4 linked regions of the Arabidopsis thaliana genome follow. The protein of the gene in region 1 interacts with the protein of each later gene in a pairwise test. Each region holds a gene or a part of one and is shown in the gene's direction. Other genes may lie near its edges. The genes, in order: HDG2, WRKY28, AGL17 and WRKY49.

Evidence for each region.
Region 2: the proteins of HDG2 (region 1) and WRKY28 interact in a two-hybrid assay, tested with the Arabidopsis thaliana proteins (one large-scale study listed by BioGRID).
Region 3: the proteins of HDG2 (region 1) and AGL17 interact in a two-hybrid assay, tested with the Arabidopsis thaliana proteins (one large-scale study listed by BioGRID).
Region 4: the proteins of HDG2 (region 1) and WRKY49 interact in a two-hybrid assay, tested with the Arabidopsis thaliana proteins (one large-scale study listed by BioGRID).

What each region holds. Positions count from the first base shown.
Region 1 is NC_003070.9:1,511,685-1,521,837, reverse strand, and holds HDG2 (homeodomain GLABROUS 2), read left to right. Parts: upstream 1-2,937; 5' UTR 2,938-3,268; intron 3,269-3,611; 5' UTR 3,612-3,657; exon of another isoform or gene 3,658-4,780; 5' UTR 4,781-4,813; coding exon 4,814-5,055; intron 5,056-5,133; coding exon 5,134-5,251; intron 5,252-5,828; coding exon 5,829-6,017; intron 6,018-6,386; coding exon 6,387-6,800; intron 6,801-6,874; coding exon 6,875-6,976; intron 6,977-7,047; coding exon 7,048-7,248; intron 7,249-7,275; exon of another isoform or gene 7,276-7,313; coding exon 7,314-7,488; exon of another isoform or gene 7,489-7,572; coding exon 7,573-7,844; exon of another isoform or gene 7,845-7,917; coding exon 7,918-8,013; coding exon of another isoform or gene 8,014-8,034; exon of another isoform or gene 8,035-8,093; coding exon 8,094-8,450; 3' UTR 8,451-8,464; exon of another isoform or gene 8,465-8,538; intron 8,539-8,544; 3' UTR 8,545-8,937; downstream 8,938-10,153. Other genes in the region: AT1G05240 (Peroxidase superfamily protein), read right to left, coding at 1-55, 149-334, 424-636; AT1G05220 (Transmembrane protein 97, Putative), read right to left, coding at 9,182-9,343, 9,575-9,895. UniProt on the Arabidopsis thaliana protein: Probable transcription factor. Involved, together with PDF2, in the regulation of flower organs development by promoting the expression of APETALA 3 (AP3) in the epidermis and internal cell layers of developing flowers.
Region 2 is NC_003075.7:10,058,241-10,064,474, forward strand, and holds WRKY28 (WRKY DNA-binding protein 28), read left to right. Parts: upstream 1-2,973; 5' UTR 2,974-3,267; coding exon 3,268-3,698; intron 3,699-3,811; coding exon 3,812-3,955; intron 3,956-4,069; coding exon 4,070-4,451; 3' UTR 4,452-4,653; downstream 4,654-6,234. UniProt on the Arabidopsis thaliana protein: Transcription factor. Interacts specifically with the W box (5'-(T)TGAC[CT]-3'), a frequently occurring elicitor-responsive cis-acting element.
Region 3 is NC_003071.7:9,615,447-9,624,097, forward strand, and holds AGL17 (AGAMOUS-like 17), read left to right. Parts: upstream 1-2,760; 5' UTR 2,761-2,925; coding exon 2,926-3,107; intron 3,108-4,246; coding exon 4,247-4,325; intron 4,326-4,455; coding exon 4,456-4,517; intron 4,518-5,303; coding exon 5,304-5,403; intron 5,404-5,506; coding exon 5,507-5,548; intron 5,549-5,819; coding exon 5,820-5,903; intron 5,904-6,060; coding exon 6,061-6,195; 3' UTR 6,196-6,222; exon of another isoform or gene 6,223-6,321; 3' UTR 6,322-6,717; downstream 6,718-8,651. Other genes in the region: BRK1 (BRICK1), read left to right, coding at 7,837-7,969, 8,368-8,492. UniProt on the Arabidopsis thaliana protein: Probable transcription factor.
Region 4 is NC_003076.8:17,370,481-17,376,405, reverse strand, and holds WRKY49 (WRKY DNA-binding protein 49), read left to right. Parts: upstream 1-3,184; 5' UTR 3,185-3,322; coding exon 3,323-3,579; intron 3,580-3,690; coding exon 3,691-3,834; intron 3,835-3,995; coding exon 3,996-4,419; 3' UTR 4,420-4,598; downstream 4,599-5,925. Other genes in the region: LURE1.1 (Putative membrane lipoprotein), read left to right, coding at 5,549-5,597, 5,696-5,925. UniProt on the Arabidopsis thaliana protein: Transcription factor. Interacts specifically with the W box (5'-(T)TGAC[CT]-3'), a frequently occurring elicitor-responsive cis-acting element.

The sequences.
Region 1 (10,153 bases):
TCGAGATGCGTCCATCCCTGCGGCCCAATGGAACCGGCCACCATGGTCCCCCGATCTGTTCAAAGACAATTAATAAGTTATATACATACTATAGTCTTCAGTTTTGGAATGACAAAATCACTAGTCCATTGCGAAAATGGAATGTTACCACTGCCACGGCATCTCTGGCGACCAAGGCAAGAACATCAGCGCAAGAAATGAGATTAGGACACTTCCTCTCCAGCGCTGTCTTGGCCGCATCCACCACTTCATAACCTTTCAGGGTCAGGTTGGGGACAGCGTCTCTTTCCGCATCATTCTTTGCAGATTTCAGAAGAACGGAACCATCACATCCCTACATGAATCATTACAAAAGAGTGTTAGGACTAGCTAGTTTTTTCATATCCCTTGGTTAACAGTCTCGAACAAGTGAACCAAGCTTACTCTGACGAAACAATCATGGAAATGCATCCTTAGAAGTTTAGCGGCAAGGGTTTTCTGGCGAGAAACATATTGTACTGTGACACCACGAACAATTTCCTCTGCCTTGGGACACTTAGACCGGTAGTAGTCGAGGTCAAGCAACTGTGGAATGGCGACAGAAACTCCAACCACGCTAAGAAGAACCACAAGGGCGAGAATGTTCTTGATCGCCATTACCGTCTCTCTCTCCTTTCTTCGTTGAGTGTTTGCCAAGTAAGGTGAGAACGAGCTTTGGAGATGAAGATGAAGGAGACATTCTCAGGCCTTTTATAGATCACCCAGCGGCTTTGAAATAGTCCATGGAGAAATGCCAAACAAGATTTAGATAATCCCATTTGCATTTTTCCTCTGTTTCTTAATGAGGGTTGAAATACAAGAGGAGCTCGAGGAGGACATTGCATGGCCTCCACTATCTTCTTGATCTCTGCTGGTGCTGCAATTAAATATATTAAATTTCCACAATTAGAAGAAATCGAAATCATGCAACGATTAAGAAAGCTTCAAATCATCTTTTGCGCTTTGAAAAGCTATTGACTTTGGAGAAGATGTAGTTTGGGGAATTTTTTTATTAGTCCTTAGCTCTCAAAAGTTAAAAACTATAATAAACTGTTATAGTTTGTGGAATCCACGTTCCTGCATTCTCAATGTAAACTATCCAAGTTGCTCAATTCAGTGATTGGATATTACAATATACGGCTAGTTTCTTGTGAAACAAGTCGTCCTATAGACTAATGCAAAACAAAACAAAAAAATCAATCATTTTCCTTAACTAACTTTCCACTCTCGGAGAATGAGACTTTCGGCCTTGCCATTCTCGTTGGGGATAAAATATATAATGGGCCAAAAGTTTACTTCCGTCTTATGGCCCATATACGAAGCCCAGAAACAAAAAAAAACTACGATCTTGAATTTATTACAAAAGCATCCATTTTTTCAACAGAAGAATTCCATTTTGAATCTCAGATTTGATCATATTGGCAGAAAAAACACTAATTGAAATAAACTAAAAGTTTGACAAAAAAAAGAAATAAACTAAAAATAAATATTTGAGACTTACGAGGATGAAACAAACTTAAAATGTGAATAGTATTGTAGCAATTCTTTTTTGAAATAATTAACTTTTAGTGATGTAGCAGGAAAAAAGAAAAAACTAAAAAAAAAAAAAAAAAAAAAAGAAAAAACTAAAATGTTAGGCGTTGAATTACTAGTTTTTTTTAGTAGGAGAGTACGAAGAAGGAAGAGGAGGTTAAAGTGCAAGAGAGGCATGAGAGCAGTAAATGGCCTAAAGCCCATGCAGCCTCTGTGTACACATTTAATGCGTCGAAACTATTCGCCACCCTATCGCATACGTACGTACGTATAACTCCATCTATATATCTGTACCTACATATATACAGTAAAAATCAGAAATAAGTTGGGTTATTGTTTTTTTATATATAGTTATTTTAAAGAATCTAGGTAAAGTATAAACTTACTGAAAAGAAAAACTTGAGTGTTAAAGCTATAGCTATAAGGACTTTAAAAAAAAAAACAAAGCTTAAGAACTAGGTAATTAAATACGCAGTATATTTCTCTATATATTCGCGTGATAAATTAAGATGAATGCATGGCTTTTACAAATTATCACCTTTTTAATGGGTGATCCGTATTTTAAATAGCTTAATTGCACGTTATAGTTATAAATGCTTGGGCCACAAAGTAATTAATATTTCTAGGCATGTAAAATGAAGTCTTACTGTGAAAAAAGTGATATTTCATTGACTTCCTTAAATTGAAAAAACAATTGTTTCGTAAACAAAACTCAAAATTAAGGTGATGATTTTTAGATTTTCTTCTTTTAAATGAAATAAAATAAATACATCACTCAATCAACTTCTGTCTGACTAACAATAATACAACCTAAACTTCTATAATATTTAAGAAAATGCCATGTGGAAGAAGAATCATGAAATTTTCCTTCTTTACAATTAAATTTATAACAAAGATATGAAATAATAATAAAATAAAATAGTTAAAAATATAATAGTCATATTTTTTGAAAGTAAAAATTAAATTTATATCTCATAAAGATAAATATTAACTATAACAAGTCATTGAATTTTAGTTAAAAAACTATATAATTTTTTTCCATATTATAAATAATCTAAGAGTATTAAAATTTCAGAAAATTACTTTTAAAATTGTATCCTTGACAAATGGGGACTATTGTCTAACTTTTTCTGTAAATGGAGAACTGTATTAAAGCAAATTTCAATATAGTTAAATCTTTTTTTAATATAGTTAATTTTGTTAAGTGGTGATTTATTGCATATGCATAAGTTATGAATAATGCTAATGATTTTTTAAAAATAACTACATATCTAATAGATAAATGTAAGTCTCATAGGCTCATAGACCGTTAGCCGTCATTCCTCACCACATTATAATATTTTAAATAAATAAAAAATAAAATTATTTTAGGTTGACATTGTATATAAGATGAAAAACAACACATAATTTTGTAACATAAATAAAATAAATTGTAACATATCTCTCTCTCTCTATATATATATAAGCGTGTAGGATAATTAAGTGTCCCTCTCGCACCATTTAATTTCATTGCACCCTCTCAATTCTCTCTGTCATTACTCTCTCATCTCTCTTCCTCCAAGATTTGCACCTACCTTTCAAACCTTTTGCTCGCCAACAAAACCGCGCTTCACAAAACCATCAGCGGTTTTCCGAGAAACAAATCTCAGACCAGACACCGCTCTACTCTTCTCTCTCTCTCCCTCTAGGGTTTCGTCGCTTCTTCCTATATCCCAGTGTATGTCTCGAAAACCTCATCATTTCTGCTGTTTTCTTTATTTTATCCATTAATTCATGTACACAAATTTATTTGTTTAAAGTATCATTGGATCCATTACACTTCAGTTTTCTTAGCATCTTTATAAAACTCTCACTTTCATGATGTTTTTTTTTTATAATTTAATATATCCTGTATGTTGAATTTTCAGTTAGTCATCTATATTTTGTCTTAAATTTTGCCTTCTTTAGCATTAATTAATTGATTTCTTGCCTCTAATATCTTTCATTCCTCTCCTAATTTGCTTTCTGACTTTCTGATTTATTGTATTCTTCTTTAAATAATCTTATCAATTTCTGCATAGTCAGAGATGAAACCTTCAAGAAAACAATAAAGAGGAAAGATTAAAGGTTAGTATTCCCTTGCCTACCAAAAAAAACAGAAAGGTTTGTATTCTCTTCGTATATCCTTATTTTCATTATACGTTTGGTTTTATATATAAACACGTGTATATACTTTATAGTAGTAGTATACATTTACATATTAATGTGTGTAATAAAAACGTTTAAATACGATGATGATGATAAGAAATAGCTGGAAAAAATTAATACATCACCCAGGCCTTATGTCACGTTGGTTGTAAGTTGTATAATAACTATATGTTGGTCCGTCGCACAGGTGCACAGATATAATACTATTTTTTTCATTTCAATTTTTTTTTCTTTCTTAATCGCCAAATAGTAGTTTACACTTTTTCCTGAAGAGTTTTTATTTTTTGAAAATCTACTAATGATTATATTTAATTAAATTTTGTTTTGTTCTCACGAAAATATTGTTTTTTTAATAAACAGGATAGAGTTGGGAATTTATTTGTACCTACTTTTTCCCATTTTATTTGCTTTGAACAAATGAGTCCAACATTTCTCTTTTCGTCTTCTCTTTCCTATCCCATCTAAATCAAAACTGATCAAAATACCTCGAAATTTTAAATTAAATCACCATCCATCAAAGCTATTATAGTGTAGAAATTTTAAAGTTTTTTCTTTGGACAACAATTGATTTCCATCTACACTACATATGATATGACTCTTGAATCAATCATAGTTTTTATTTCAGTCTGCTGATTAGTTTTTTTCTTTTCTTTTAAAAGGGTAAAAAATCGGTAGTTTCGAATAATTTTGAGTATGTGAAAATTCATTATTTTTGGGTTGGTTATTCAATAACAAATTAATTTGTGATTGTGATGTCTTTTTTATGCAAGGCTCTTTTTTCTTGCTTTCAATTAGTGGGTCCTTTGTTTCCTACAATCATCTCCAATTCTTCTGTTTGCTTATATCATTTTGTATGATCTTCAAGAAGAAAGATAAACGACTCCGAAGAAAGATTTAAGTTATTGTTGTTCATACAAAAAGAAGGTTGTAAAGTTGTTGACGTGGACAAAAGTATTGCCATATTTTTCCAGCCTCGAAGAAATTTCCCTTCTTCTTCAAACCCTAAATTTTGACAAAACTCTCTACTTTTTTTTGCTTCTAGGGTTTGCTTTCAGTTTCCGGAGTATAAGAAAAGATGTTCGAGCCAAATATGCTGCTTGCGGCTATGAACAACGCAGACAGCAATAACCACAACTACAACCATGAAGACAACAATAATGAAGGATTTCTTCGGGACGATGAATTCGACAGTCCGAATACTAAATCGGGAAGTGAGAATCAAGAAGGAGGATCAGGAAACGACCAAGATCCTCTTCATCCTAACAAGAAGAAACGATATCATCGACACACCCAACTTCAGATCCAGGAGATGGAAGCGTATGTGTTTAACTTACTCACTTACTTCAATTTTCTTGTGTGTTTTTTGACAATTCTTTTGTTTTGGTTGTTAAATAGGTTCTTCAAAGAGTGTCCTCACCCAGATGACAAGCAAAGGAAACAGCTAAGCCGTGAATTGAATTTGGAACCTCTTCAGGTCAAATTCTGGTTCCAAAACAAACGTACCCAAATGAAGGTATACTTTTTATATTATGAACATATATACATTAGTTAATGGATCTATATATATTAGAGAAAATATATATACTTGTTAATTAAATTGTTATTTCATTCATATTAAGTCTTGTATATATACATTGAAGGGCTTATCTTTATACTTAAGAACATTTTGGGTGGCTGGTGTTTTCTTTCAGAATGAATTCATTGACTTTTGGCAGATTTTAGATCTAGTTGAGACACTTTGACTTAAAATTTCTTACTTATTTTTTTTTTCAATTGAAAAGTTGTTCCTTTGGCAGAACTATATATTTGGCGGATCAAGCTATAGAAAATTGTTTGGTTGTAACAACATTGCCTATTTATTATCTTAGTTAGAGCCATATATAATCTATAGATTGAAACGTTTTGGACACATATGCTTACGTTATGCAAATACGGTGAAACACATAACGTGTACACGAGTGTTTTATTTGAAACATACACTTTTCCTCTTTTTAAGTAAAATCCTTTGTTCCTTCGTTTTACCCAAATTAGAAATAAATCACTTGTATAAAACTTTAGAGATAACCGGAATATAAGTTTTATTTGCGCAGAATCATCACGAGCGGCATGAGAACTCACATCTTCGGGCGGAGAACGAAAAGCTTCGAAACGACAACCTAAGATATCGAGAGGCTCTTGCAAATGCTTCGTGTCCTAATTGTGGTGGTCCAACAGCTATCGGAGAAATGTCATTCGACGAACACCAACTCCGTCTCGAAAATGCTCGATTAAGGGAAGAGGTATGAGAATCAACTATTTTAAATGTTCAAATAATGTTAAGAGTTTTACACTTAAATGTTGTCAAGAAGATAAAATAAAAAATTAGAATTTGTTTTTATACCACTAATGTTATATCGCTTTCACAATAATCATTTCTTTCTTCATAAAATAAAAACTTTTATAGATTTGTATTGAAATTAGAGAATTTAAACATTTTTTTTTCATTGAAGAATAGAAAAAATTATGATATTAAATTGAGATACTAAAACGATATTTTTGGAACTGTAAGGAGTAGTAGTACATAATAACAACATTACTCAACGTTTCTTCTTGTGACCAAACTTTGAAAACCACAAGGATCAATAATCTTTCTTATTTGTCTGTTTTAGATCGACCGTATATCCGCAATCGCAGCTAAATACGTAGGCAAGCCAGTCTCAAACTATCCACTTATGTCTCCTCCTCCTCTTCCTCCACGTCCACTAGAACTCGCCATGGGAAATATTGGAGGAGAAGCTTATGGAAACAATCCAAACGATCTCCTTAAGTCCATCACTGCACCAACAGAATCTGACAAACCTGTCATCATCGACTTATCCGTGGCTGCAATGGAAGAGCTCATGAGGATGGTTCAAGTAGACGAGCCTCTGTGGAAGAGTTTGGTTTTAGACGAAGAAGAATATGCAAGGACCTTTCCTAGAGGGATCGGACCTAGACCGGCTGGATATAGATCAGAAGCTTCGCGAGAAAGCGCGGTTGTGATCATGAATCATGTTAACATCGTTGAGATTCTCATGGATGTGGTAATTAACATTTTCATTTTACTTAAAAGCAATCTTCTCTGTTTAGTTTCAACAACATTGATATGATGTTGCAGAATCAATGGTCGACGATTTTCGCGGGGATGGTTTCTAGAGCAATGACATTAGCGGTTTTATCGACAGGAGTTGCAGGAAACTATAATGGAGCTCTTCAAGTGGTAATTTTTTTTGCTTTTATTCTGTAAAAATTAAATTTCAAACTGAAATAACCACTCTGTTTTGCTTGCAGATGAGTGCAGAGTTTCAAGTTCCATCTCCATTAGTCCCAACACGTGAAACCTATTTCGCACGTTACTGTAAACAACAAGGAGATGGTTCGTGGGCGGTTGTCGATATTTCGTTGGATAGTCTCCAACCAAATCCCCCGGCTAGATGCAGGCGGCGAGCTTCAGGATGTTTGATTCAAGAATTGCCAAATGGATATTCTAAGGTAATATAATAAAAACATTAGGTTATACAAAATGTTTACTTAAGTAGAGAGAATTAATGTAACAGGTGACTTGGGTGGAGCATGTGGAAGTTGATGACAGAGGAGTTCATAACTTATACAAACACATGGTTAGTACTGGTCATGCCTTTGGTGCTAAACGCTGGGTAGCCATTCTTGACCGCCAATGCGAGCGGTTAGCTAGTGTCATGGCTACAAACATTTCCTCTGGAGAAGTTGGCGGTATAACCTACTGTTTGTTTCATAAACAGTTTTCATAATCAGAGTCAGAGTCAGAATCACAGTTCTATATTAATGAATATGCAGTGATAACCAACCAAGAAGGGAGGAGGAGTATGCTGAAATTGGCAGAGCGGATGGTTATAAGCTTTTGTGCAGGAGTGAGTGCTTCAACCGCTCACACGTGGACTACATTGTCCGGTACAGGAGCTGAAGATGTTAGAGTGATGACTAGGAAGAGTGTGGATGATCCAGGAAGGCCTCCTGGTATTGTTCTTAGTGCAGCCACTTCTTTTTGGATCCCTGTTCCTCCAAAGCGAGTCTTTGACTTCCTCAGAGACGAGAATTCAAGAAATGAGGTAACTATTTTAGTTACTACGCTCTCTTGTTCTGTTTTGGACAGAGTTTTGATGTTTTTGTGAGATTTTGCAGTGGGATATTCTGTCTAATGGAGGAGTTGTGCAAGAAATGGCACATATTGCTAACGGGAGGGATACCGGAAACTGTGTTTCTCTTCTTCGGGTAAATGTGAGTTACACCGGGTTTTGAACTATTGTTATAATCATCTGATCCTAGCTAAGAGTTTTCAATCTTTCTTTATGTCACAGAGTGCAAACTCTAGCCAGAGCAATATGCTGATCCTACAAGAGAGCTGCACTGATCCTACAGCTTCCTTTGTGATCTATGCTCCAGTCGATATTGTAGCTATGAACATAGTGCTTAATGGAGGTGATCCAGACTATGTGGCTCTGCTTCCATCAGGTTTTGCTATTCTTCCTGATGGTAATGCCAATAGTGGAGCCCCTGGAGGAGATGGAGGGTCGCTCTTGACTGTTGCTTTTCAGATTCTGGTTGACTCAGTTCCTACGGCTAAGCTGTCTCTTGGCTCTGTTGCAACTGTCAACAATCTAATAGCTTGCACTGTTGAGAGAATCAAAGCTTCAATGTCTTGTGAGACTGCTTGAAAACCATCCATTAGGTACTACTTTCACTAAATATATTCTTCTCGCTTTTACGCCATTATATGATGTAATCATATTTTTCTTCTTCTTTCTGCAGGAAATAACAAAATGGTGATGATGGAAAAAAGAGAGAGATTTCAGTTTGAGAAAAGCGGAGGAGTCAAGATCGAACCTCACAAGAGAATACCATTGAGTGTTTGTTAGTGTTAAGTTTTGGTCTGCTTATTTGATGAAACTAAGCAGTGAAAAACTTTTTACTTGAAAGTGAATATGTAGATGGTTTTACGAGGTTCGGGAATTTGACTTCCCCTGTCACATACTGAATTAGACAAAAACAAAAACTAGGTTAGAAAGAATGCTTTCGGATTTCTTTTTGTGTTACAGTTACTGTTTTTCTTTCCTTCTTGTGGTTAGATGGACCATCATCAGGAATTTGGAGTTTGTCTTTCTTTTGTATAAATATCTTATACAAGTATTTTGGTACTTTTGTAAGCTTATGTGAGTTTGTCTAGGGGAAAGCTCACACTTTTTTTTACCAGACAATGAGTGTCTCTCAAAAGGGCCATTGCCAAGTAAATTTACCTTTTGGTTCTGTTTAGGTTAAGTTCAACCAAGGAATTGTTGCTGAGTTAATACTTGAACAAAATTTCTAGAAGGGATAATGTTTTCACATTGAACATTCATACCATGTGATAAAGTAAAGTTTTCAAATGAGAAATTACCCTGGTTTATCCTCAAGCAAGCTTTCTCCTGGCTAAAACAGTTGATCTTTTGGTCGAACAAGTCACCAGACCACGAAGCATTGCCAGAATTGCAAGACCCACGAAAGGCAAATACGCCAATAGCAATTTGTTAGTCACCTTCTCTGAACCTATCATGTCTCCAAGTATAGCAGCCTAGAGATTCACAAAACACACAAAAACAAAACGTGAAAGAAACTTACAAACAAAGCGGTACAATCTAGCCTTCTCAGAGAAGCAGAGCAATCACATATACTAAAATATAGAACTCCAAAAGAATTTTCGTTTCCAAATCAAGAAAGTTGTAACATTTACAGATCAACAACATCAAAAACAAATATACATAGACTGAGCCAAATGAAAATGAAGAGAAAGAAGAAAATGTACCATGGAAGTGAGGAAAGAAGCTCCATACAACAAAGAAGTGGTACCAAACCACGACTTGCTGGTAAGAATGGCGTAGATGTTGACAATGGAGAGAGGCAATAGGAATATGATCTCATGCCAGACGAGTCCAACGAAGAAAAGAGGCTTCTCTATGAAGAGGTAATCGTTGAACTCAGAGCTGTACCAGTCTTTCAGATCGGTGAGGAGCTTCGGGTAGATTCCAGGAAATAGTATTTGACCGTTGAGAAGCGGTACATTGATAGCCATCAGTGCGAAGAAGAAAAACAGAGAGATGTTGATCAGCTTCCCCAAAGCTCCCATCTTTTTTTGCCTCTCTCCCGAGTCGTTGACCACAAAAATGAAACAGAAGAAGAAGAAGAGACGAATTCTTGAGATTCACGCACGGTTTATTTAATTGTTGGTTTTACTTAACCGAACCAACAGACCCGAGCTATTTCTCTCTTTCTAATTTTTATAACTAATTGCTGGTTTAATTACACCGAACCAATTCAAACAAGACTCAAAGAGGACCAAGTTAAGACCCTAGTCCAGTGGCGCGGAACTGGAAGAGCACAGGCA
Region 2 (6,234 bases), on another chromosome or scaffold:
ATATATATTAAATTAATCAGCTGTAACAACTCAAATTTCAGAAAGAGGATAACGTGTGTGAAAGAACAGAAAATACAAGAGATTCCTTTTTATTCATATATATTTTATATATACTAACATGAATAATAATGATAAAAATGTCACACATGACAAACCTAACAACAAACCTGCCCCAACTATTCTATTCCAAAGCTAAAGTCAACAATTTCACTCTCTTTCTTTTTATTCTTCTTTACGTTAAATTGAAACTTAAATAATGTAATAATTATGTGTTTACTAGAAAGTAGAAATAAATTTCATAATAATATCTTTATATGTTAGGCACAAATCCCCAAAAATAGGTCAGACATTTCAACTGCAGACAGATACAGTTATGTATACGTGTAATTGTAAGCTAATGTTTTTTTTTCACTTACAGGTTACAAATTACATAGAGGTCCACGGTCTAACTTTGGGTAATTTAAATGTGGGGCTTATGGATAAGACAACGCAAACGATTAGGCACCAATTACGGCGTTTAGTTTCTGCCTAAATTAAAACTATAAATGTGTATTAATATATATCTTAGTATGCATTAATGTGGTTAGGTACGAGAAACAGATTCATATACCACCATTATGGCATTATTATAGTATGCAATAGAAGATTGAATATATATTTGACTTCGAAGATTGAATTTTTTTTGGTTTAGAGATTATTCTATTACTCATATGGAATCTGATAAGAGTTGCTGTTTCTCTTTCCCAAATTAAAGTATGTATACGCCTTGATGTTCTTGGTCAAATGTGAATGGTTAATGTCTCTTTTGGTTCAAAGAGAATTATTCGGTCTTCTTAATTATTTCGACCAAAGATTACTAGATTGGTATTGATTTTCTCGAAAACGTTTTTCATCGTAGTTTGTTTTGACCAAAAAGCGTTAAAAACATGGAAATTATTATGCCCTTCTTTCATTGATCAAATTTTTATATACCAAAGCCATAGTATTTTGATTCATTCCAATATTTTATACTGAGTATCACTGAGACACTGACTATATATATGTATGTATTCTCGCGCTATCCGTAATATGCTAGGTAATATAGCAGTGATTATTAAACGCATTAAGATCATCATACGTAATTCACGATAATTTGTAATCCAAAAACTTAGGTGTGACCAAAAAAAAAAAAAGAGTTGAATCCTTCACCTACCAAAAAAATGGATTGTGACCAAAAGACCATGACATATCAAATTTTTAGTGATTAAACCGATTTCTTCCAAGATGCTAGTATTTGTTTTTATCTTGCCATATTTTAGTGATTTTTCATAGTAGTAAATATATCACTTTGACCACATTTAAAGTTGATGTATGTCCCCTTCGCATTTGTCATGTCGGTTAGGCATTATATGTCTCCTTTTTTCCTGATCATATGCTCCTATCAATTTCTACAAACTCATGAAAACGATTACTAGCTATATAAATCAAGCATAGGGTTCATAACATGCAACTTTAATTCCCCACAATTATCGCAAATAAAATTGTATATAAAGGGTTTATCGTAATTATCATAATGTTAACATTTTCATAATATAGATACTTTTGGTTTGACCATCTTTTCCTTAATATAAGTTAATAAATTAAGATGCTCTTTTACTTGCAAACAGAAAGTTCTAATGTGAAAAAGAAATTGTTATTGCGTAATCATGATCTCACTTATCCGTCAGCATAAGTAACGATCCACTCCACATAGCTACGTCACTTAAAGTCCCATAGTAACTAATTTTCTTTGAATGTTATAGCAAATTATTAGCAATGTATGATTCTTTGGGTCAAATCTTACACTAAAAACATGAAAATAATTTGAATATCAAGAGATTCATATATTCATATTTTATAACCAAAATATGTAGGGTCTAAATTATTGCTTCTTGACTAGGAATTACCTATGAATAATTATTAAGGTTCGTGAAACAGTGAGGGAAAAAGAAGAAGAAGAAGAGAAGACAGTCTCTAGCACGTGCCAGGTCATGTGTCGGCGACGGTCAAATGCCGGTGCAAGTGTTTCCACGTGGCAGCCTAATACTCCCAAAATATAATCTTTTGTTTTCGTAAACTTTTTTCCCTTTGAATCTTTGACTGCCTCTTACTGCATTCTTCACACCAAACGACCGGCCGGTGACTGAGTGTTTCCGGTTTCCGGTAACACATAGTCTTCGCTGACTAAGACTCCTTCAATAACGTCGTCTTCTTCCACGCGCCGTTTAGTCGTAGCGCGTGTTATCAAGCCCGTCCACTATATATGCCACGTATAGAGTGGGGAAGAAAATGAAGGTGAGAACTTTTCATGTCCTACTTTTTGGCCCCATAAAAAAGGCAGCACACAAAAATAACCCAAAATTTATGCATGTTTATCAAATGTGGAAAAATAAAAGTAGAATTTTAGGAAATTTATACGAAGATACAATGCAAAGACTCGAAGAAATGTATTTAGTGGTATAGAAATACTTGCAAGTAAGCATATTCTGAATTAAAAATATAGAAGCTTAAGTATGTTTCCTCACTAGAAGCCAGTTTTGCAGCTCTATTTTTGTCAACTTAGCTTTACGTAAAGTTCTTATTGCCCGAAACCAAAAAGTCATTCAAAAGGCATAACATGATATCACAAATAAAATTATCATCTACTTCTATATCTTATTTCTTGAATATATATATATATATATATACCTATCTATTAAGTTGCTTATCGTTCACATTATTAATTTATAATTAACTTTATGTACATTTGACTGATAAACATTAAAAAGACTTATTTGAACCTTTTTGTATATGAATTCAAAATTATACTGATAAAATAACGTGAGGAAGAAATATTATGAAAGCTTTTAACATATAAATTAATTTGCATAGGAAAAAATTACACAACTTAAATTGAGATTAGTTAAGAAACAAGAAAAAACAAAGTTGATAGAAAAATAAAAGTATTAACACGACTTTGGATTCACACACGTACCATTGAATTATATCTCAATACACTTTTACTTAATTAACTTATTTCCAAACCAAGTAGCCAAAATCATATTATTCTTCTCTCTCTTCCTTTTTTGAGTTTCAAAATGCATAAATACGAGAACGAGAGACGAAGACCAAATTAAAGTCCAAGCACCAATCTAGACCTCTTAGGAAAAAAACCTAAAAACCTAATCCCCAAACCTAAAAGGCTTATCTCATCTCTTCTTCTTTGTCTTCTTTACTCTTTTTTTACCTCTCTCTTCATTGTTCTTCACCATGTCTAATGAAACCAGAGATCTCTACAACTACCAATACCCTTCATCGTTTTCGTTGCACGAAATGATGAATCTGCCTACTTCAAATCCATCTTCTTATGGAAACCTCCCATCACAAAACGGTTTTAATCCATCTACTTATTCCTTCACCGATTGTCTCCAAAGTTCTCCAGCAGCGTATGAATCTCTACTTCAGAAAACTTTTGGTCTTTCTCCCTCTTCCTCAGAGGTTTTCAATTCTTCGATCGATCAAGAACCGAACCGTGATGTTACTAATGACGTAATCAATGGTGGTGCATGCAACGAGACTGAAACTAGGGTTTCTCCTTCTAATTCTTCCTCTAGTGAGGCTGATCACCCCGGTGAAGATTCCGGTAAGAGCCGGAGGAAACGAGAGTTAGTCGGTGAAGAAGATCAAATTTCCAAAAAAGTGTAAGTCATAACTCTATAGGAACTTTTATGCAAAACATTGAACATCATTTGATCTCTTCGTTTAGGAATTTAGTCTAGCATGTGTATTAATTTTATAGTGTATTATTTTTCAGTGGGAAAACGAAAAAGACTGAGGTGAAGAAACAAAGAGAGCCACGAGTCTCGTTTATGACTAAAAGTGAAGTTGATCATCTTGAAGATGGTTATAGATGGAGAAAATACGGCCAAAAGGCTGTAAAAAATAGCCCTTATCCAAGGTAACTAAACTTTCCCTTTTTATTTTTTGAAATTGCTAGGCTTGTGAAAATTTGTGTTTAGAAAAATGCGACCATTATAGTGTAACTGATAATAGCCAATGGAAACGAAAATAGGAGTTACTATAGATGTACAACACAAAAGTGCAACGTGAAGAAACGAGTGGAGAGATCGTTCCAAGATCCAACGGTTGTGATTACAACTTACGAGGGTCAACACAACCACCCGATTCCGACTAATCTTCGAGGAAGTTCTGCCGCGGCTGCTATGTTCTCCGCAGACCTCATGACTCCAAGAAGCTTTGCACATGATATGTTTAGGACGGCAGCTTATACTAACGGCGGTTCTGTGGCGGCGGCTTTGGATTATGGATATGGACAAAGTGGTTATGGTAGTGTGAATTCAAACCCTAGTTCTCACCAAGTGTATCATCAAGGGGGTGAGTATGAGCTCTTGAGGGAGATTTTTCCTTCAATTTTCTTTAAGCAAGAGCCTTGATCGATCATTGTTATAACTACATATATTATATATATTGAGAGAGAGAGGTAGAGAAAAAAAAAACTTATATGTAACTTAAGATCTTATTTTGTCTCTCTTATTTGCATGTACATATTTTTTCATGAAAGAATGAGACAGTTGGGCTTGCTTATATATTTGATGATGTTTAATGTGTTACCGTTGGATACATATTTTCGCTTCCATTTTGTGAAATTATATTTTCTTCTTTTGGTTAGTTTTTTACATTATGATATTATGCTGTGTAATTTGTACTATCATATGTAGAAGCGAAAAAGACATAACTCTAGCTAGGAGCCTACGATTGATCTCCCAAATGTTGATTATAATATATACATATGCTTTTGGGAAACTTAAGTATTAAATTGACAAGTTCAAATGGTCAACTTCTTACTGATTTATATCTTAATAATCAAAAATTACAAAAAAAAGTTACAAGCTCATATGTGATGAAGAAATTAGAATCGGAAATTTAATGTAAGGGTGTTGATATAAAAGGTTCAAGTTGTAGACGACGAATATCTATGTGTGTGAACAAGTAAAGAAAAAACAAAACAAGTTGAGATCTAACCTTGTGTCCTAAGAGAATGGACCCGAATAAAAGATTTGACTGCTTCTGCTTTCTATCTTATCCACACACACATGGAAACATAGACTGTGGACCAATAATATTACCCCTACCATCAAAACTGAAAACAATGTTTTAATTCAAAAAACGAAAAATAAAAAGAAAATACTAAACAATAATAAAATTATATATCAAATCTCAGATTTATAAAGAGTGAATGAATTACAAAAAAAATTTGAAGGAACGAGAAGGATGCGAAGAAGAACCTTAGAAAAAGATCTCTTTATATATTAACTTGTAAATGTGTTTGTGCAAATGAAAGTATAGGCAACAAAGTAATAGTGGATTCTCTATATATAAGTATTTTATGAGGAACAAGAGGACCAAATTTCTGAATTAATAAGCAATACTATTATTTGGGAGCGCATTTGTGTCATATACCAAAGTCATTGAATTTAGCTGAAACTTGAAATCATGAGATGAACGAGTCATGAGATCATAGAACATGTGGATTTCTGAAATTTCAACATGCGCGCTCCAATGTAACTTCAGTTTCCTATTTGAAAACTATTCTTAAATTTTGAAATTCAACTGATATGTCCAATCTCGAATCTTTTCATTATCAATTATCATACTCAATTTGTATTAAATCACTTCAAATACAGTAGTTTTTTTTTTTTTAGTTTAAAGACGTTTCTTAAAGGTTTTAAATGTTATGACACATTCACAATTATCATCACTGGTAAAATTTGCATTGGAGTGTTCTTGGAAAACATTCTTTCAATATAGTCATAAAATTACGTTTGACATATAATTCTTACAAACCTAAGGTATATTCGCAAAAATGTTATAGCAACTTTGAGAAAACATATTAAATATATACATAAATCCTTTCTATGTTCTAGATTTTGACTAAATATGTACATGTTTTGACTGAAGAATGATTTGGCCTACACAGATAACTATTAAAATGATCATATACCAAGTCAAATCATATATTGAATCATACGGGAAATCCATTTGACACAAATCTGTATTAGATGGAACATTTATTTTAGTATTTTCATATTATTTTGCTTATAAAAAGAAATCTCGGTGATAATGATTTTGGTTTTGTTTTCGGGGTCGTTATCAAATTCACCTAACAAAAACAAAAAAGGAAGCCAGAATGTTAGAAAGAGAAGCAAAGTTATAAAA
Region 3 (8,651 bases), on another chromosome or scaffold:
TCATAGTAGGCCTTTGGCCGGCCCGTGAGTCCAAGAAGAGGGTGTCTCCATTTGGACGATTTCTTTGTTGCGGTCCATAATTCATAAGCCGTATATTAGCATAGTTCATACTTACCCATAATTGGAATGGTATAAGTGCGGACTATTTTAGTTCCAAAAACATTTAGAAAATGTTGTGTACGAATAACTTTATTGGTTAACGCAATTCTGTATCCATATATAAGAGTTAATGTATAAAATATGGCAAATCGAAATTGTTAATGAATTCAAATATTGAACTCATGGCCAACAACCTTGGAACATTTAGTACAATTACAACCAGTGTTCAAGTTCCAAGGACTCAAATTTCAACCTTCAATTAAGTAAACTATGTAAGAACTCAGAAAATAAATGTAATTTTATGGAGTATTTGGAATTAAAAGCATCAAATGGATAATGATAAAAATGAGTTCTCTTTATGGTATGAAGTTCACGTGAAAGAGTACTAATCTCGAATGTATCTTAGTTCAGTAAACTGGTGAATCCGACAATAGTTTTGTAGCATAATATAATGACGAACGTAACATTTGTATGATAATGTTGCAAAAAATAGTTTTTCTCTTCTTCTTCTTTTTTTCAAATACCATTCAAACCTGCGAAATATAGACTTGGCCAAAAATATTATAGTACTACTTTTGTTTTCGTTGTATCGTTTTCATTGAATTTTCTTTTTCAACTCGTTTAATTACTGAATATTACTGTAATTACCGATCAAATTCATATATATTTCCAAAAAGATTAAATTAATTTTTTATTTTTATGAGAAAACCAAAACCTTTTTTAGAAGGATCAAAATGGGACATTGACGGCTGATGGTTGACATCTGGCAGGTAGATTTGTTTTTGTTTTTCTTTTTCTTTTTAGTTTCATTTTAAGGATAAACATTATCTTGTGTTGGAGACTCGAGATCTGATTGGTCGAAAGAAACCCACGTGGTCACCATGTTGTCATTTTAGGTCCCACCTAAACTCTTCGATAGCTTTAAGCCTTTAACAGTAGTGAATCTAGTGATACTAAACTTTACTAATTAGGATTTAGGAAGAACCTGAAGCGAATTCACTTAAAGCACTAGATTCAAAACTATGAAGCATAGAATAGTAATTTAATATCTGTAAGTGATAAACTTTCACATGCACTATAATAATAATAAATGATCATATTTTGGTAAAACTATGATCGAGATCCCTCAGAACTTAAATATTATAAATCCTTCTTTTGGAATCAAACTAGTGTTTCTTAGTTTATATGTAAGGCCACATTTTTTATCGAAAAAAAAAGTGAAATATATCTGAAATCTGATATGTACTTTAGAGATTTATACATTTTCACATGTATTGATCGTTTTTATATATTTGGCCAACCTATGATCGAAAGCTCAAAAACTGAATACATAAAAAAAAAAATATACATGAATCAAGAAACTTGATTTCTTGATTCTATCATTTTTTAACCTAATTTTATTTCATCGTACTTTTTTTTTTTTTTGACAATTCCCTTACTCTTAAATCTTAACTCATGTATCCTTAGAAGTTTTGCATTTTTTGGTCCGAAAAGCTTCTCCACTGGATCAGTTACCATTGGCCAAGTAAGTTTAGTATCCTCACCAACATCGAAAATCGAGATATTATTGATGCGTATTTCTTTTGAAAAGTCTCCTTTCAACAAAATTTAAGTTGTAAGGCTGAACATTATAGGTTGAAATAAAGAAATTGCTCAGGTGTACGAAATTTAAGCCGAGGACAAAGGAGCGTGCGAAAGCATCTCCTAATTGGTATCCTCAGGAACTGTTTCTGCTACTCTCACGTGTATGACTCTCACAAATTTGCATATTCCACCATATAATATACAATATATTATATATATATATATACTTACATAGTTTGATAGTTCAAACCAAATAGTTACAATATAGACGACTTGATATTAGTTGGAATTCGATGGCCATTATCATATTAATTGAAACTTTAAAACCAAACGTAAATCCATTTCTAGTTTGGTTTACTTGGAATCGACGGTACTAAAAAAAATTTGGTCTACAGATGTTGTAAGTCTCATATTGAAAACGGTAAGTCAAATAACCAAGTTATATTTTTATTAAGCATATATTGTCTGCGTAATGAGACTTAATTAGGTCATTTAGTTCATGTATAATACTGTACATAAAGTCAAGTAATTACTAGTACAGGGTAAATTAATTAAGTTCTAATTAACGAGTTTTGCTCATTCTCTTATATGCAAAAGTTCGCCTATATGGAAACTTGCAATAGATCTTAATATATTGGTAGAATGGAAATGTCCTCAACTCCTAATTTATGTGTGACACGTGTTAATAAAATCAATTTTGTATTTTGTTCTATTATAGAAAACTATCATCAGTTTTTAATATTCTCTAAAATCCATCTACCGTTTTCAAAGCTTTTTTCCCGTTATATATTTTACATAATTTTTTTGGGTAAAATGGAGATATCAAATAAAGGAAGTTTATTTGTAGTAGTATACATTTCTTCGGTTTCAGTTTTGATTCAGAAAGTTTATTTTTTCTATGTAAATACTTTATAATACTGTTCCTTCTGTCTCATGTGTTCTATGAACTATGTGTATACTGTATACATATTTTAGGTTATTAACTTGGTACGATTACTAATTAGCCCTCAAGCTGTATCGACCAACACAACGACTCAAATAGATAAAAACGAAATCCTTAATTTATTCCTCGAATACATTGTTGACTCTTACTTCCTTCTTATTTTTTTCTTTTCCTTTTCTCTCTCTCTATTCTCTTTCTCCTGATTCGTTCTTCTTCATCTTTCTTTGGCCTTGCGAAGATCTAGAAAAACCCTAGAACGCACCAAGATCTAAAGGAAGATCAAAATAGGGTTTAAATTAATGGGGAGAGGGAAGATTGTGATCCAGAAGATCGATGATTCCACGAGTAGACAAGTCACTTTCTCCAAAAGAAGAAAGGGTCTCATCAAGAAAGCTAAAGAACTTGCTATTCTCTGCGACGCCGAGGTCTGTCTCATCATTTTCTCCAACACTGACAAGCTCTATGACTTTGCCAGCTCCAGGTTTCTCTCTTCCTTTATTCAATTCTTAGATCTTTTAACATCTACATACCTATAGATCTACATCTATCTATGTATTTGTATATCTATAATAAATGGAACTATATATAGGTATGTACGTACTTATATAATATCATGTGTGGGTTCACTACAAGAATATAGGCTATTTCTCTAAGAGGGTTTGGATTAATTCAATGATTTGTGTTTGGTAGCGTGCATTTAGTCATTTGTAGTAGTATACATTTTTCTGCATCTTGTGGCGATAACGCTCTCTATATTTCTGTGTATATATACAAGGTGATAAATGTATGAGCTAAGGAAACTTAATTTTCAAAGGAAACTTAGTTTGAAAGGAGCTTAGGATGCCAAAGCAAAAGAAAACTAATTAAAGACGATGACTAGTGTAAAGATGAAAACACACACTAATTTGAAGTAGGCTCATGGCAGTGTGTGGACATGTGTGTCATTGGTTGTAAATTGTGTATGTGGCTGACAGTGTGTCTTTGCCAAATTTAGAAACATTTGAGTAGAGAAGATAGTAATTAAAGCTAAAAACAAGTATAACGTTGGAAAACTGAAAGAGTGATAAATGGGAGTGTATAAGATATCACTACAATCAATTGTGCATTTTTAAGGATATATCATACATTTGGAGATGATATATGTAAACTGATAAAAAAATTACCCATCTACTTGTATATAAGCATATAAATCTCAATATTTTGTATATATGAAACTACCCAAGAACGATAAGATGACTATGTATTTTAAACCATAAATGACTGCACAATTTATTATGACAAAATTTTGAAGTATTACATGAGAATTTTTTTTTTTCGTTTCAGATTTTCCAAATGTGAAGTATTCATATTTACTTTTGAAGATCAAATTTATCATGTGTAAAAGAATCTTATATATGTATAAATCATCGTGAATCCATTTCCTGACCTATATATATATATATATCATATTTTTCTTATGTGATAAAAATATAAAGCCTTCTTAATAATTTTAAAGATTGTGAAAAAAAATCAAGGAAGTGATGGATTTTGTTTTTCTTTTCATTAGAAAATAATTTTATTTTGCCACAAGGAAGCAAACATTATGAAATGCTTATAAGTTGAAATTCTTAAAATGAACAGTGTGAAATCTACTATTGAACGATTCAATACGGCTAAGATGGAGGAGCAAGAACTAATGAACCCTGCATCAGAAGTTAAGGTACGTATAACAGAAATCACGCAGCACATAAGAGGGGAAGGCAATTATTAGTTAATATCTTAATCATGTGTTTGTATTACTATGCTTGAGTTTGAGAGTTGATCGAGTTAGATTGTGTTGCGTGTTGTAGTTTTGGCAGAGAGAGGCTGAAACTCTAAGGCAAGAATTGCACTCATTGCAAGAAAATTATCGGTATGTATTTGTTCATAAACTACAAAACTATGAGTAATCATGTGTTTCTAACTCCAAAGTAAGAAGTACTGATCTTAATTGTATCCTTTTTGCTAAGAGTTGATCTTTTCTCACATGATTTCTAACTAAAACTTTTCTCTTTCTAATTATTTTTGTTTAAAACTGTTCAGCCAAAATTTGTGCATTTAACATAATAAGGTAACAAAATGGATGTTATGCGCCTAATATGTTTAAAACAATGTATATATACTTCATCGAGTCGATTAGAGAAAGCGGATTAATCCTAAAAAATTTGCACAATTGAGACTAACTTTAACTTTGCACTACCAGATTTAATAACCCCACACTCTATCATTTTTCTTTAAAAAAATTATTTCAAGAATGATAGATTTGGAACCAATTAGTTCATACCTAGTTTCAATGGTGTAATCTCATGAAGATTCATCCGTTCTCTTTAATCTACTCGATGAGATTAATTTTCTTTGAATTAAATTTTGTTATTTTTTGCTTTCAAGTATTTTCCGTTTAATCTACATTCTAGTACTATACTCCGGACCTCTAGCATTTTATTTCTAAAATTTTCTATGTAAACTTTTTCCTCCGGATTGTACAACCAATCACTTATGTGTTTAAGGGTAAGAAAAATATGTATATGTTGAAAACTCGACCATGATTGTTCTGTCGGACTGGTTCATTTCTGAAATTAGTCGAGCGGATTAAATTGGTTGTAGTTGGCCATGTCCGTTCTACATATATTAACTGCAGTAATGTTTTGTGATAAATCAGGCAACTAACGGGAGTGGAATTAAATGGTTTGAGCGTTAAGGAGTTACAAAACATAGAGAGTCAACTTGAAATGAGTTTACGTGGAATTCGTATGAAAAGGGTAATATATGAATGCTCTAGGCCTCTAGCTGGTTCGCATGATGCTTAAAAATTGATAATAGAGCATTGAAGTTTAAGCTAATTATTCTTTTCGAACCTTGCAGGAACAAATTTTGACCAATGAAATTAAAGAGCTAACCAGAAAGGTAAACTATATGATATAACACATGATTATTAAAAATCAGACTCGGATGTTGTTGTTTGTGTTTACATTGTAAACACACATAATTTGCAGATGTAAAATGCAAACGATATTTTTAGTTTCTTCTTCGGTTTGTGTTTGCATTTGCAATTTACAAAAAAATCTGTTCTTTGAGAAAAGATACTAAAGATGTTGTGTTTAAGTTTGAAACGCATTATTAATCAATGTTATCATTTCTAGTTTTCAGGTTCTTATAAGTGTTTTATCTTTTGCAGAGGAATCTTGTTCATCATGAAAACCTCGAATTGTCGAGAAAAGTACAAAGGATTCATCAAGAAAATGTCGAACTATACAAGAAGGTAAAATAGAAACACAAACTTCATTACTTCAAGTTGCAGCTAACAAATCCTTTAAATCAAATTAATCTCCTAGTTGAAACTAGACAAATCTCAATAATTAATTATTGAGATCGTACGTAGTTACAAAAGTGTGTTGTGGTAATGGTCTTGCATACAGGCTTATGGAACGTCGAACACAAATGGATTGGGACATCATGAGCTAGTAGATGCAGTTTATGAATCCCATGCACAGGTTAGGCTGCAGCTAAGCCAGCCTGAGCAGTCCCATTATAAGACATCTTCAAACAGCTAAGATCATATAAGAGATATATAACAAATTGTTCGTTCTTGATTATCTCAAAACCCTTTCAAATATATATACGTGCATATTATATATGAAGACTCGTTTGACTATGTCAATATATATGTTTTCATGCAGGAGTAAGTGTGAGTGTAATCATGTCGGAGAGCAAACCAAAGGTTTGATTTGTACGATATATACTTATATATGGTCTCAAGTGAAAGCAATGGAACAGCTTCTCGATTATATTCTTTTTAGCTTTCACATTTGGTTTTAAGTACATAATTAAGACATACATGAACTACATATATAATATATATTTTAACTAAAAAAATTGAGTGTGATATAGGTTGGTTTAGTATATAAGCTATACTTTACCTAAAGTAAAATCAGAGCTCACTTTTGTGTGTGTGTGTTTGTTTTTGTTAGTCATTGAGATTTTTAATAAAGGGAGATTCATTTGAGATGATTGCTTCTATAGTTTAGAGAAAATTTGCAAAACAAAAAGAGTATACTATATATTGTCGTTTCAGGTAAAACGATGCAAAAAGTCAGCCTAGAAATTAACGAAGTTACATGACCATGACCAACATATGAAAACTGCATTGTTTAACATATCTCTGAAAAGATTATGTTTTTGGTCGTATTAAAATAACAAAAACGAAGTAAAAAAAATCTCAGATGTGAAATCAAACTAAGAGGAGCTAGGAGAAGAAAAATAAACCCTAATTTCCTTGGGATGTAAATTTTCACCGGTCGTACAATATAGGATTTTATGTGATTCAAAATTTTAGTCCAAAAGTAGAGGGTTATAAGTTTCTCGGTTTGAATAAATTAATTTAGTGATTTTGATTTAGCGCTTAAATTTGATTGTAAACACAGTTCACTCTATTATATACTATTGTCCAATATTTTGCATACTGTAATCCACTTTTAACCTACAAAAATATTGATATAATTAGTCCGGTTTACTGCTAATTGAACAACCATTCAAAATTTGATTTGTTGTATAGACAATGAGTTATGCCTCATCAGAAATAATCACAACTTAAAATTATTCTAGTATGATGAAATATGTGTTCTGTTTTGTAAATATTATAGATACAACCTATAAATAGTTATACAAGTTACAACCAATGAGCATACCGAATAATTCACTTGACTTTAAAACAAACGTATCTTGAATTCAAAGATTAAAGATTGGTTGTAATAGTATATATGCACGAAGAACCAAGAATTGCTCAATTTTTAATTGATAGTGACATTTGAATAGAACGAAAAAGATTGAACACTAACTAAGCAATCTACCAAAATATTAAACCAAACCACATAATATCAAATATCTTAAATTATAAAATAGCCCCTATATTTCCTCTTTATCTCATAAAACACCCGTTTCTTCTTCTAATCTTAACTTCTTCTTCATCAATCACACATCATCTAAAAGAAAAACAACCTACGATAAAATTCAGAAACTTTTTCTCTGAGACACCAAAAAAGGAAGGTGACCCTCCTTCTCTAATCGATTGCTTAATCATTTCTGCCGTTGGATTGAATCGAAAAAGGGCGAATTATTTAAAAAGCTTCAGAATTTGAAATCGAAATCTGTGAGTACTGTTGTGTTTGTGGAAGAGAGAGTTTTGGGGTTTAATAATGGCGAAAGCTGGAGGGATCACGAACGCAGTAAACGTAGGAATCGCTGTTCAAGCAGATTGGGAGAATCGAGAATTTATCTCACATATCTCTCTTAATGTTCGTCGTCTCTTCGAATTCCTTGTTCAATTTGGTAAACCTCACTCTCTCACTTATTTCTCTGTGTTGGGTTTTGAATTCAATTGACTAATTTTGGAGTTTTCTCGATTTCGTATTTGCTAAATTTAGAAACTTTGTTTTAGAGTTTTTGTCAAAGTAAGGTTTTTGATGATTGGGAGATTTGATTTTGGTGGTTGGTTAGTGAAAAATTTCACCTTTTTAATTGTTGAGATGATCAGATTTCATTTGCATTTGTATGGTCTTAGATCCATGTGCTAAGAGAGATCTTTGTAATGATCTCTTTGATCTTCTCAGCTTCAATTCTAGCTGGTTTTAGACAATGTTGTGTGTGATGAAACTTTCTTTTATGAGCTAATTTGATTATCGAAGTCATTGATGTCTGTGAGTTTGTAATTTCTCTGTGTGTTTCAGAATCAACCACAAAGAGCAAGTTGGCTTCTTTGAATGAGAAGTTGGATCTGTTGGAACGTCGCTTGGAAATGCTGGAGGTGCAAGTAAGTACCGCGACAGCAAATCCTTCTCTGTTTGCGACGTGAAACACCGTAGACGATATCGAAATCGAAACCGAGCCTGATCCTTTGGCTTTAACAGAAGAAGTCTGTTGTTGAATGTGTACCATTGAATGATTCTTTCTTTCTTCACATAGCTGTGGTAGTAAGTAAACTAGTAGCTTAAAATATGAATCTATTCATAAA
Region 4 (5,925 bases), on another chromosome or scaffold:
TCCAATGCATACATACATAACGTTTGGACTATTAAAAATGATATACAGTATAAATTTAATACGAAAATATAATTTTAACTTGATTTTTTTTCTCTAACCACATGTTAATTAGAAAACTTCTCCTTAAATAGGTGTCCAATCACGAGGGTAAGTACTAAATAGTTACAAGAAAAAAGATCCAAAAAAAAAGAATTTGGAAACACTTGGCTAAACAGTTGGCTTTTAAAGTCGAGTAATACGAAAGAGTTAGAAATTATAGAAATACGTACGGAGCAAACCAATCTCATCTAACTCTGCATAATCTGTTTCAAACACCTGACGGTCTATCCTTCTTGTAAGGATGTTATTCATACCTCATATTAATGTTTCCATCTCCAAGTGAAGAGGCAAAGAACTCTGTCGGTGACATATTGATCCTAGTAGCATTATTTGTGCATCGCTTTGCTGACAAATCCAACTTAAACGCACAAGTAGAATCATAAAACTTCCATGAACCATCAATTTGACATCTTAATGTCGAGATATTACTTCCTTAGATGATTTCCTGTTCAATTGTTTTGTCTGAACTCAATTAGACCTTCTTCCATGACAATTTTTCACTTCTAATGTGATTATAAATGTCAAGGGGTTTCTATAGATTTCTTGAAAGACTTTTAATTTGGTTCTTAATTTTCAAAATAATCATAAATTTCATGGATGACAATTATAGTTTTCATGTTCGTCAGAACTACTAGGTTCTCTCCAATATAAATAATCGAGATTGGTGAAAATCAAACTTGATGAAAAACTTCATGGAATCATCAACATATATGTTAATTATTTAATTAGTGAAACTTATAAAATTTGAAAATCTTTTCTTCATCAACAATTCATTTTTTTCAAAATTTCATGTGTAATCTAAAGATAGCATGGTCTTTAATCATGTTATTTTATCTGACAACAAGAAATTTAAGAAAATAACATACCTATACGTTAATACAAAAGACATTTTAATTATTATTTTTTGTTTGGTGATTCATTTTTTTAAAAAAATTATTAGAGTTTGGGTATTTACTTTAACAATGGAAATAGTAAAATTATTACTCCATATCCTTAAAAACCCTTCTTGAATGGATCAAAAAATTCTGATACTCTCTACATATATATACCGTTAACATTAACTATAAATGCAAACTGCAAATTTAAAAAAAAAAACAAAAACTAAACGGTTGACTTTGTTAAATGATTTGAGCAGAAACTTCCATTACAACCAATTCCTCAATCAAATCACACAGACAACAACAACACTAAAGCCCACTAAGTCAACCCAAACCTTTTTTTGTCCACCAGCTAGTCACATTATACTTTTGTCTTTACGTAGCAAGTCAAAGCGACATAGCAACAAAAGGAAACTTGATTTTATCAATATCATGGGCCTATTCCCTATATCAATGGCAGAGTTTCGTTCATTTAGCCTGTGTAATATGACCGATAAGATTTTCTGCCAAATCATGTGCCAAAGACTCAAGGGAATATTGCTAAATATCGCTTTTCGATAACATATTACGTATTACATTATAGTAGTTCAGGAAACTTTCTACGTCATGAGATATCATCAATTTTTTTTTAAATGATAATTCTTAACATGTGATTTTCGGAAATACGGGTTTATAGCAGATCCATGTTTCATTATTAGGTAGAAAGAAGACATTTTCCCTAGACCACGAAAAAAAAATGTCAGTTTACCGCAAATGTTTTTACAAAATAACATGGTTCTCATCCGCAAAACAATTTGGTCAAAATTTGGCAAAGAAAGTAAAACGATATTTCAATAAATTTCTGTTATTGGTTATTTACGTATATATTTACAACTGTAAAGTTATTTAGCTAATTTACCCTATAAATTTAAAACCCTTCTTGAATGACTGAGACAACAAGATAGTACGTACGTTAACGTTAACTATGACTGAGACAACAAAATATTAAAACACTAAACGGTTGACTTTGTTAAATGATACCAAAAATAAAATAAAAAAATCTATTTCAAGCGTGGTGGTTAAGATCCAAAACCAATTCCTCAATGACTAAAAGACAACAAAACCTAAACCCACTAAGTCAACCCAAACGGTTTTTTGTCCACCAGCTGGTCACACTATATTTTTGTCTTTATGTTCGAAAGTCAAAGCCACATAGCAACCAAAAATAACTCGATATTATCAATGTTATGGGGCCTAAGATATAAGCTTCAAAGTTATCCACGACGGTTGATTCATGAAATATATGGACATTACTAGAAACCTATCTAAAGACAAAAAAAAAGCAATAATGATAAGATGACCCTAAATTTAATGGTAATGTTATAGGCTGTCGCAAGTTCAGTGCATACGAAATATGCATTATTGCCTTACATTTCTAAGAAAAACTATGTATAACCCACACATGTATAATAGTGCTTTGTGTTAGTATTATCGATGTATATCAGAAAAATTCAGTCCAATTTGGAGAATTTATCTCATTTTGTTGTGATCATGATAGTTAGCCGATCATAATGCATCTTGACGTAAGGTATAAGCATAAACCAACTTATCAAATCCCAGACATTCTCCTCGTGTCTATGGAAAAGAACGACCATAATTTGTTTGATATTCTTATCATGTGGACGATGTGGTCTTGAAGAGTAGAACATACATCATGCTCCTAGTTTTCAATCACGGAATCCTAGCTGTGACTCACTCTCTGAAGTTAGAAAACTTTATTTTGCCGCGTCCAAAATTTCGATGCCAAATCTAATGAGGTAAATTTTTTAATTAGGTATAAATAATAGTTCTGGATATAATAAGTTTTTTTAAAGCAACAAGTTAGAAGCTCAAAAAAAAAAATCATTTATACATATATACATTTCATATCTAAACTATTTGGATTCCTCCAAAACTATCTCTAAACTAGTGTAAATCGATACGTGTGAAAAGATGGTGGACATTCCAAAAAGTAAAAATCAATGATAATAGTGTTTTTATGTTTATTAACGATTATAATAATGTTGTGCAAAACAAAACTTAGAGATAAAAGATAAATTGATATAAATTCAACACATTAATTAATGTAGATAATTTATTAAAAACAATAATATGGCATATAACTCAAGTATAACAAAACTGAATCCACATGACTAATTTTGGTATTATATATAACTCGTGTAGATCCCCTCCTCAAAAAAAGAAAAGTAAATAGAAATTCAACACACGTTACTCTTAAAAGTTAAAAGAATAAAGAATCCCTCTCTCCCTCTCCCCCTCTCCCCCTCACCACCAGCTCGCATAAGTTTTCTTGTCCCCATACTCATATGGAAGAAGAAGGTTATCAGTGGGCAAGAAGGTGTGGAAACAACGCCGTTGAAGATCCTTTTGTTTATGAGCCACCTCTTTTCTTTCTGCCTCAAGACCAACATCATATGCATGGGCTCATGCCAAATGAAGATTTCATTGCCAACAAGTTCGTCACATCAACACTTTACTCCGGTCCACGAATCCAAGATATTGCAAACGCTCTGGCCTTGGTCGAACCCCTGACCCACCCAGTCCGAGAAATCTCTAAATCAACGTAAGTAATTGATATTTATTTTTTTAATTACAAGAATACATCTCTTTGCCTTATGTTTAGTATAGCCCTTTAATAATAAGTACTCATGAGTTCCTTTATATTTATGTATAGAGTTCCTCTTTTGGAAAGAAGTACTTTGAGCAAGGTGGATAGGTACACTTTAAAGGTGAAGAACAATAGTAATGGAATGTGTGATGATGGATACAAATGGAGAAAATATGGCCAAAAATCAATCAAAAATAGCCCTAACCCAAGGTACATATATGCATTCTCCGTTTTAGAATTGTATATGCATATCGAACTTCTTTGGTTCGGCCAAAATGATACGTATTAAAATCAACATATGGAAGTTTTATTTAGTATACTTAGTTTTCGGTCACAAGCCTAATGTTACTATATTTGTGATATATGTCTAGGAGTTATTACAAGTGCACAAACCCAATATGCAATGCAAAGAAGCAAGTGGAGAGATCAATTGATGAGTCTAACACATATATCATTACCTACGAAGGTTTCCACTTCCACTATACTTACCCTTTCTTCCTACCCGATAAGACACGTCAATGGCCCAATAAAAAAACGAAAATACATAAACATAATGCTCAAGATATGAACAAAAAATCTCAAACCCAAGAAGAGAGCAAAGAAGCACAATTAGGTGAGCTCACCAACCAAAATCATCCAGTCAATAAAGCCCAAGAAAACACACCGGCAAATCTCGAAGAGGGATTGTTTTTTCCGGTTGATCAGTGTCGGCCGCAACAAGGGCTTCTAGAAGATGTGGTAGCTCCGGCAATGAAAAATATTCCTACCAGGGACAGTGTTTTGACAGCTTCTTGATAAATAAAAAATTATTTGAAAATATTAAAAAAATATAAAATTAAACTTCTTTATCATAACCGGAGAAAGTTTTATTTTTCTTCTAAACTTTTTACGTTTAAATAAATTTATTTTGCTCATCTACACAATAAATACATCTAAAGAGTTTCAAGAAATATTTAATATGTTTGATATTGCCACTTCCGTTAAGTTGATAGCGATCCCGGAACAAAATTCTACAAATTTTGAAAAATGTTTTTAGTTTTAAACTTATAAAAATATTGAAAAAACTTAATACCAAATCTTATAAATTAATCAGTTTACATCTTAAAATATTTTGTTTATATAACTTTAAAAAATATATGGTCTCTATAGATAACAAGTCGAAGGTGTTTGTTCAAAAAAAGAAAAACAAATAAGGGGATTTATGGAATTTTTGGTTAAGAAATCATTTACGCAATTAAAAAAAAAAAAGATATACATATGTACAAAGAGTTTGGATAGATTCGAGGCATGTATGAAATAAAATGATTTGGTCATCTATAAGATCATAAATATAAATAAGGAATCAAAAAGTAATTTATGTTTTGTTAGAAAAGCAAGATAGGCATCTTGAGTTGGTATATATAATATAAATTATTAATCATTTCTAATCAATTTATATATTATATATATTTATTAGTTCCTTGACTTATATATTTATTTTAAATAAAATGTTTGCCTCAATAGTAATTTTAAATTTTAAAGTTTAAAACCGCTAATTGTATGTACTTATTAGATGTATGTTATCAGTTATACCAATAAATAACACATTTTAATAACTACTATTAATTGAATTTGAATTTTATGAATATGTATAGAATAAATCCATGTGTAGGGTGGGTTGAAAACCTCATGATGTAACAAAACAATTATAGTTTAAAAACAAAAACAAACATACATAGGTTACTTAACTTTCGTTTATAACAAAATAAAACGTTTATTTGAAAATTAACTCTTTGTATAACATATGTATCTATAGAGCCTATAAATATGACTGTATATTGTTTTAATAACTCCAGCACAAAACAAAAGAAAAAAGAATTCAAAACGATTCACAAATTTTTTTTGTAATTTTTTTTTTGTGGTATTGGTTAATTTCTATGAAGAAATGAAGTTGATTTTTATATTTTTAACTCTATTAATTTTTGTTTCTTCATGTAAGTCTAAATTTATTTAATTAGGATAATATATCAGTATTATAATCAACAACAAAAAATTGTTTAAGAATTTGATATATCTTTTCAAAATTTGATAGGTACATCAATACTTATAAAGGAATCTAGTGAAGAAGAGAGAATATATCCTTTCAATCCAGTAGCAAGTCCTTTCGATCCACGTTCACTGAACCAAATACTTAAAATAGGCAAAATTGGTTATTGTTTTGATTGCGCAAGAGCTTGTATGAGAAGAGATAGGTATATTCGCACATGTAGTTTTGAAAGAAAACTTTGTCGTTGCAGTTATAGTCATATTCATCATACTCAT